Linked DNA regions of Rattus norvegicus. The protein of the gene in region 1 purifies or fractionates together with the protein of each later gene. This does not show direct contact. Links are inferred from orthologs where the notes say so. Each region holds a gene or a part of one and is shown in the gene's direction. Other genes may lie near its edges. The genes, in order: Mapk4 and Fastkd5.

Evidence for each region.
Region 2: the proteins of Mapk4 (region 1) and Fastkd5 purify together in Homo sapiens (affinity purification with mass spectrometry; 3 studies listed by BioGRID and IntAct, with this or other methods). This does not show direct contact. The link is inferred for Rattus norvegicus from reciprocal best matches to the Homo sapiens genes MAPK4 and FASTKD5.

The regions. Positions count from the first base shown.
Region 1 is NC_086036.1:69,787,486-69,792,078, reverse strand, and holds the end of Mapk4 (mitogen-activated protein kinase 4), read left to right. Parts: intron 1-1,478; coding exon 1,479-2,175; 3' UTR 2,176-4,019; downstream 4,020-4,593. UniProt on the Homo sapiens protein: Atypical MAPK protein. Phosphorylates microtubule-associated protein 2 (MAP2) and MAPKAPK5.
Region 2 is NC_086021.1:138,283,573-138,287,386, reverse strand, and holds part of Fastkd5 (FAST kinase domain-containing protein 5, mitochondrial), read left to right. Parts: intron 1-1,169; exon of another isoform or gene 1,170-1,206; 5' UTR 1,207-1,366; coding exon 1,367-3,661; 3' UTR 3,662-3,814. UniProt on the Homo sapiens protein: Plays an important role in the processing of non-canonical mitochondrial mRNA precursors.

The DNA.
Region 1 (4,593 bases):
AGACTAGTTCTTAGACTTGTGCCCGCCCCCTTCCATGCCACAGAATTCAGGGCTCACAGTGTTGGACTGGCACCAGAGAAGACTGTAGCAGGGTACCCCAGGTCACTGCTAGTTAGTTCAGGGTAGTACCTGAAGCTCCTGGGCTTCTCTGTCACACCTGCACAAAGGACAAGTCCCTATTGCAGGAACACTCACTGTTGTGGCATGCTAATCTTCTCATCTTTAGGACTGTGGTGGTCAAACTAAGTCCTCTCAGATAGAGTACTACTATCTCAAGATAGTAGATCATATATGGCCAGCACTTGGAGTGTACCAGACAGATGCTGGTCCTTCCCAGCTCTTCTTCCTAGAAACCCCTGCAACTTCAAGGGCATTCAGGCAAAGGGTGGTATTGAACTCTGAGGGCAATGCCCACATTAATGGTGTTCCCTGGGAGGTGGGTAGCACAAGTCCTTCCCCTACCTCTCCAGCCAGAGTACCCCCATAGCCTATGGGCTGCACCTGCCTGGCCTTGGCTGGTCTGATTGTCCTATGTGAGCACCAGCCCTCTGGCTCAGGGAGCAGCTGGCCAGGAGCTGCCACCTTGTCTGTGCTCCCAACCGCAATACTTGGCATAAGAAAGGGGTTCAGCCAGAGCTGATAGCCAGCCACCTGCCTGCCCATCTGCCCTCCGTTTGCTCTTAGCTATCTGATTTCAGTCTCCTTGGCTACGGGGCAGTCAGTAGAGGGCAGAATTCCAAGGCTCTTTGGTCTCCCTCGATGGTGTCTGTGATCTTTCTGCAGGCCCCATCTGCTCTACTTGGAGGCTAGGGGCTACAAGGCACCTATCCAGATCCATCACGGCAGAGGTTATCAGCCTGGGCTGCGTAGAATCCCTAGGAGAATCTCATAAACATGCCCAAACAGGGCCACCTAGACCTACTGAACCAGAACATTGGTAGTGGGCAGCAAGGGATACCTGGTACTTAATTTTAATCCTCCTGTGTGATTCAAATCTGGGGCAGGATTAGGAAGCACTGGCCTTGCCACTCAAAGTGCAGTCCGAGGATCAGCAGGAGCATCGGGGAGCCTCCCAGGTCCCAGTGCAGAGCTGCAGGGTCCAGATCCCCAGTTTAACACGACCCCATGTTGTTATATGGGTTACATAGGTGAACCAATTAGAAAGTTCCATAAGGAAGACTGTTTTGTTGCTTTGTTCACAAATCCATCATGTAAAGCCTGCACGCAGTGAGTGTCCAAGAAAGCTGTTGATTGACTACTAAAGACTAAACTCACAGATCAGCCCCCCTAGCTGGGCCCCTGAAGCTCTCTTTCACCTGCGCCATCACACTCCAACCTTGAGGGATGATAGTACCTGCCCTTTAGGGACTAGGAGGAATAATGAGTGGACTTGTAAGCAGACTACGGGTATTAGGCGATTTGGCTCTCCATTCATCCTGGGTGTGCTTCACATCGTGCCTTCTTTTGCACGCTTGCAGGTATCCCGTGAGCCTGTCGTCAGATCTGGAATGGCGGCCTGACCGCTGTCAGGACGCGAGCGAGGTGCAGCGCGACCCACGTGCTGGCTCTACTCCGCTGGCGGAGGATGTTCAGGTGGACCCACGCAAGGACTCACAGAGCAGCTCCGAGCGCTTCCTGGAGCAGTCGCACTCGTCCATGGAGCGCGCCTTTGAGGCCGACTATGGACGGTCCTGCGACTACAAAGTGGGGTCTCCGTCCTACCTGGACAAGCTGCTGTGGCGCGACAACAAGCCCCACCACTACTCGGAACCCAAGCTCATCCTGGACCTGTCGCACTGGAAGCAGGCGGCCAGCGCACCCCCCAGGGCTGCAGTAGCAGCAGACCCAGTGTCACGTGAGGATGAGCCAGCAAGCCTCTTTCTGGAGATCGCGCAGTGGGTCAAGAGCACACAAGGTGGCCCTGAGCGTGCCAGTCCTCCCCCTGATGCCCCAGAGCCCCGTCTCTCTGCTTCACCCCCGGGACACCCAACACCCATTGATGGGGGTGCCAGTCCCCAATTCGACTTAGATGTGTTCATCTCGCGTGCCCTAAAGCTCTGCACCAAACCTGAGGACCTACCGGAAAACAAACTGGGCGACCTGAATGGTGCGTGCATCTCCGAGCACCCCGGCGACCTCGTGCAAACAGAGGCCTTCTCCAAAGAAAGGTGGTGAGCACAGAAGGGGTGCGTGAGAACTCCCGGAGCAAGACCCCACCCAGAAAGCTGGACCGCTTCCTTGCTTTCCTAGTACTCCTTCAGCCCCTCTCTGCTGCATTGGGGTTAGCAGAACACACGCGGGTCCGGGGAGCAAGAGGAATGTCCATTTCTTAAACTGCCTTAATAACTAGCCTTTAACCTCTGGGAGCGGGTTTGAGCAGACCCTGGCTGGGAGCTATCAGTTTCCCATCAAAGGGAAAGGCCTGTTGAGTGTACAAGGGAAGAAAGGGATTTCAGACCGAAGTCTACAGCCCTACGAGGAGTCAGAAACAGCTTACAGACATAGTTTCCAAGCCGTGTGACCCACCTAGTCCCAAATTGACATTTGGGCCCAGTGAAGCCATTAGGACCACAAGCCTGGTGGTGTCAGGATAAAGCCTGTGTCCCAAGCTCCTATCCCTGGACCAGTGTCTGACCACAGTATAATGTCTTCCTCTGCTGGGGCCACTCTGACTTTTTGGTCAGAAAACGGTCCCGAGTGCTTCTCGCTTTCCCTTACTGTCTGTCCCATCCTTCCCTTTAATTTAGACCTGTGGCTCCTGTTTTCCGAAACCGGAAACAGAACCGGTTTCTTTTTCCTAGTCGCCAGACATATTTCTACGACTCCCCAAGTGCTTAAATGTCCTCACCTGCCACCTCCCTGTATTAACCCAACCCAGCTCAGTCTGAAGTTACTCCTTCCTAGCAGAACAGTTTGGGGGCTGCTTAAACTTAGTCATCTCCCAGGCCTGTGCCTACAGCCTCCTCCTGCACGCCCTATGCACTTTCCTGACTCAACACAGCCATTGTTCTCCAGTGGAGATCCTACAGGGATGAGTTTAAAGACGGAAATTGCGAGAATCCCTCTTGTCTAATCCCCAGCATCCCACCCACCCCACCCACACACACACAGCTCCTCTCCAAGACGATTTCAGGACCAAATGTTCTTGGCACAAATGGCTCATTTGTAGGAGAAGCAATAAGGTGCTTTCCATAAAAACAAATGAGTTAGGAGGGAAGACTCCGCAGAACACCCATCATCCTTCATTAATGTCGCCCAGGATCATTTTAGTCCTAGCCAGGAGTAGACCCTAAAGGGATGGCCTGAGAGATAGCAACCTTCGGGCAAGAGACCCAGAAAGATAAACCAGGAGTTTAAAGAAAGGTCCTAACCTCGGGTGTCCTCAAGAGCCAGCTATCAAGGTGGAGAACCCGAGGCAAAGAAAGGGATTCAAAGTAATCGCATCCTGGTGGCTCAGGTTAAGAGAAACTTGGAATCAGTTCCAAGCCTCTGCAGGAAAAGCATGGGGCAGGGGGTTGAGGGGAATACCAACAGTCCCTGGTCTGTTCCTGAACACTCCGCCACTGGTATCTATCCTCCCCTCCCCCTGCCGACATCCCAAAGATACCCACGAGAGGTCCAGCTGCTCTGTTGAGAGATCTCCTTGGGCTGTGTTCATTCTCACGACGCAGCACCTTAAATCTCGCTGACTGTGGTTTGTACATTGAAACGTACAGTGCATCAGAAACATATATTTTAAAACAATCATGCTGACCGGGTTTTTAAGTGGAAAGTATGTAAATATAAAGGGTTTAGGTTTTATTCCTTTTTTTTTTCTTTAAGAAAAAAATGCAATGCACACCACCCCTTATGTGCCATTTGTCGTCGGGGGGAAGCTTTACTTTTTGAGTAAAGGGACATGCTGCTGACTGACCGCTAGCTCACGGAGAATTGTGATAATTAGTCATGTTCTTAAAAGAATCTGTTAAATATTATTAAACTTGATCAGGATGAGCCAAATAAAGTTTTATTGGAACATAGATCCGTCGGGCATTGTCACATTAACTGTCATCTTTTTACCGTGTTGGAGTCATGAGAGCCTTGCTGGCTTCTCCCTGCACCATGAAGACAGTGTTTGGAGATGTGAATGTGGGGTTCCAGGTAGGGAGGGGGTTCTGCAAGGAGAGAATCTACCTGTGTGTGATCAGAATTAGCTACTGAGGTCTGGCGTCCATCTTGGAGAGCTCTACAATCTTGGTGTCAACTCCACACCTTTGATCAGGGCTGGTCCTTATTGTCATAGAAGGTCTCAACATCATGAAATCGCAGAGAACAAACCTGTCCCACGTAGCCACCTGAGCCACACCCCTCAGGTACCTGAAGCCGACTGCTCTGTCATACATGTGACAAGATTATGAAGCCCCAGCTCCATCTGTTACTCAACAGATATAGATCCAGAGTTTTACATTTTTGTTTCTGTTCGACGTCTTAGGAAGGCTTTCTGGTTAGAACACACTACTATTGAAATGCGCCTACACCAAGATGAGAGGCTTCTGAGCCATTGATCAGAATCTCTCCGAACCGTCTGCCAAGTATACGGCGGTGCTCCTTTCC
Region 2 (3,814 bases), on another chromosome or scaffold:
TGTAGAGGCCAGCTAATGCTACACAGTGAGACCCTGTTTCAAAGAAAAAAAAAATGGACCTAAGAGAATAGAATGAGCAAATGCCTGTTATGAGCTAGAGAGACAGCTCAGTGGTTAAGAGCACTAGCTGCCTTTCCGGGGGACCTGGGTTCAATTCTTACTGCCCACTGGTTTATAACTGTAGTTCCATTGGATCTGTTGCCCTTTTCTGGTGTGCAAAACACTCATACACATTAGATAAACAAACAAACTTAAATAAACTCATATATACACAAATATATAAATAAATAGAAAAAAAGCCTTAAAATATATATTTCTTGCGCTTTCAGAGAACCTGAACTTAGTTTCTAGCACCCAAGTCCTGTGGCTTGCAACTGCTTGTAACTCCAGCTCAGGGGGTCCAACCCCCTCTTCTGACCTCCTCAGACACCAATCACACAAGTGGTAGACACATACATGCAGACAGAACATCTATACACATCAAATAAAAATAAACAAAATTGGGGCTGGAGAGATGGCTCAGTGATTAAGAGCCTGGGCTGCTCTTCCAGAGGTCCTGAGTTCAATTCCCAGCACCCACATCATGGTGGCTGACAACCATTTGTAATGGGATCTGATGCCCTCTTCTGGTGTGACAGAGACAGTGTACTCGCATACATGAAATAAGTAAATCTTAAAAAAAAAAATAAACAAAATTGAAAAAGCAAATCCTACTTTTTCCTTTATACTGTTAGCGTGGCAACTTTTATTAATTGCTTGTATTCTCCAGGTACTATTATGTGTTGATTGTAAAGAAATGAGTTGCCCACTTTTTACCCTCAGCTTTCTTTTGGAAATCTGTCCTTCCCTCCAAGGAAGTGAATTTATATCAAACAGCAGTCTAGAAATCACCTAATCGTGTCTTGGGTGTTTGCAATGCATGCAGAGTTTCTCCTTCACACTTAATGGCTTGTGCTCTGGGCTTTCACTAACACTGAACATACATGCATGGATAGTAGTATAGTTTGCATCTTTCTCTTTTTTTTCTTATGTCTTTTGAGACAGGGCTTCACAAGATAGTCTTGGCATAGATCCTGTTGCCTCAACCTCATAAGTACTGGATTTAAAGGGTGTGTGCCACCACACCTGGCTGTACCTAATTCTTATAATGTGTACATTTTGTGTTATAGGTAGAAGCCACTCATTTTTCATCTACCCTTTTTTCAGTATCTGGCACCAATACTGGCCCATCATTTGTGGCCCATGGCTCTTGTGGTATGCCGAAGAGTTACAGGCAGTTTCTGTGGAACATCTCTAATGAAGCACCATATAAACAAGAACGTGTGACTTTTCTCTGACTGCCAAAAAGATCAGCACAGACTCCAGAATGTCAGCCACTCTCAAGCTATTAAAACTTTTAAAATACAAAGCATCTTGTAATCCTTCTGCTTACCATGCAGCCCAAAGCATGGCATATTGGCCTATGGAAAACATCGCACAGCATGGGGGACAGAATCTCCCTAAACATAATAGCTCCTGCCATCTTGCCAGAAAAGTTAAGAACATTGGTGATACCACCCTGTCTCAGAGAGCCTTCACAACCAGCAGTGCCCACCTGGGTTTGGAATTCAACAAAGCTTCTGCGCTCAAGGCCAGTGCATTGCATCCAGACTCACCCAGTGCCAGAAGAGGCGAAGAGGATGTAGAGGTCTTTGATTCCTTCGAAGGAACCCGAGTTTTCTTAAAGCTAAGGCCAGAGTACCAGCTTCACAGCTATAACAGAAGTGAGACTCGCCAACCCTTATCTGCCTCAGAAGGTGAACTAATTTTGCACAAAGTCACATTTTATGAAGATAAACTCCAGCCAGAAGTCATAACTAATTATTTTTGTAAGCTCAGCTCTTTGCCAGCAGAACAGAGTTCCGTTTTGCTGTGCAGTAACAGCTTTGCTTTGCTCTGTCATCAGAGTGTGAGAAACATACAGCTCTTTAACACCTCAGACCTGGTCAGTATTCTGAAAGCCTTTGTCGACCTAAGAATCCCCTTCTCCGCCTCGATGCTAGATGTGTATGAAACCAGGTTTTGCCATCAGGTATGGGGGATGAACCTGGATCAGCTTCTCCTCGTGGCTGATCTTTGGCGGAACTTAGGCCGCAGAGTGCCTCGATTTTTAAAAATTTTTTTTAGCTACCTTAATTTGCACTGGAGAGAGCTATCTTTGTCTCAGCTAATTCACTTAATTTATATTATAGGTGAAAATCGTCAAGTACCACAGGACCTGATGCAAAAACTAGAATCACTGATCCTTAAGTATATAGATTCAGTCAATTTAGAGGAAGTTGGTACCATCTGTTTGGGTTTTTTTAAATCAAGTACTAGCCTCTCTGAATTTGTCATGCGGAAAATTGGAGATCTAGCTTGTGCTAATATGCAGGATGTGCGTAGCCACACCTTAGTTCATATTCTTAAAATGTTCCGCTTCACTCACGTAGATCATGTAAATTTCATGAGGCAGTTTGGAGAAATTGCTCCTCAGAGAATTCCTTCCTTGGGGGTTCAGGGTGTTATGCACCTTACCCTTGCCTGCTCAGCCTTACGTATCCTGGATGAAAGAGTAATGAATGCAGTAGCTGCCTCTTTGCCTCCAAGGGTAGCACACTGTCGAAGTAAAGATGTTGCCAAAATTCTGTGGTCGTTTGGAACTCTGAATTATAAGCCACCGAACACAGAAGAATTTTATTCCAGTCTGATAAATGAAATCCACAGAAAGATGCCTGAATTCAACCAGTACCCAGAGCACCTTCTCACCTGCCTGATTGGCTTGGCATTTTCTGAGTACTTTCCAGCTGAATTCATAAATGTTGCTCTGAGCCCAGGGTTTGTCAAGTTAGCTCAAATGAGAAGTAAGTTTGAACTCACTAAGGAACTGTTTACTCTTGATGGTACAGTTGCCATTGAATGTCCAGATTACAAGGGCAACCGCCTTAATTCTCACCTTCAGCAAGAAGCATCTGCAAATCTGTGGAGTTTAGCAAACAAGGACATGAGATCAAAGCCTGAATTCCTAGAAACTCTCTACTTACTTGAGACCATGTTGGGTGGCCCACAGTACATCAAGCACCATATGATTTTACCTCATACTCGATCTTCTGACTTAGAGGTTCAGCTTGATGCTAACATGAAGCCATTACCATTTAATAGTGAAGCAACACCAACTGAAGATGTAGCCCAATTACGACTTAAGCAAGTGGGAGTCAGCCTTACAGATGATTTGATGAATCAGTTGCTAAAGGGAAAAGCCAAGAGGTATTTCCAGGGGGAAACTGAGTTAGAGACTGGCCAGCTATCCATCGAGTTAAGAAAGAAGACAACTGTACCCTTGGTGGACTCTGATTGCAATGGAGCAGATAGATTGGGGGATACGGGAATAGCTGGCTTGTGCCCTCTCACCCACATGCAGACCCCACTAGTAAAGCTAGCTATCCAGTTTACAAACAAGAACCAATACTGCTATGGTTCCAGGGATCTTCTTGGATTGCACAATATGAAGAGAAGGCAGCTGGTTCAAATTGGGTACCGTGTGGTAGAATTACCCCACTGGGAATGGCTTCCATTACTGAAAAGAACTCGCTTAGAGAAGCTAGCATACCTCCATGAGAAAGTGTTCACCTCTGCTCTCTGAAGGGCACTCATGGGCATTTATGCTCATAAAAGGAACAGGTGCATACCCTATATCTGTAGGTTAAGGATCCTTAACCAGAAAATCAAAGTCAAATGTCCTAAAATCTGGAACTGAGTACTGATCTCAGATCAGGGACATTCAAGTGGTAGTCTA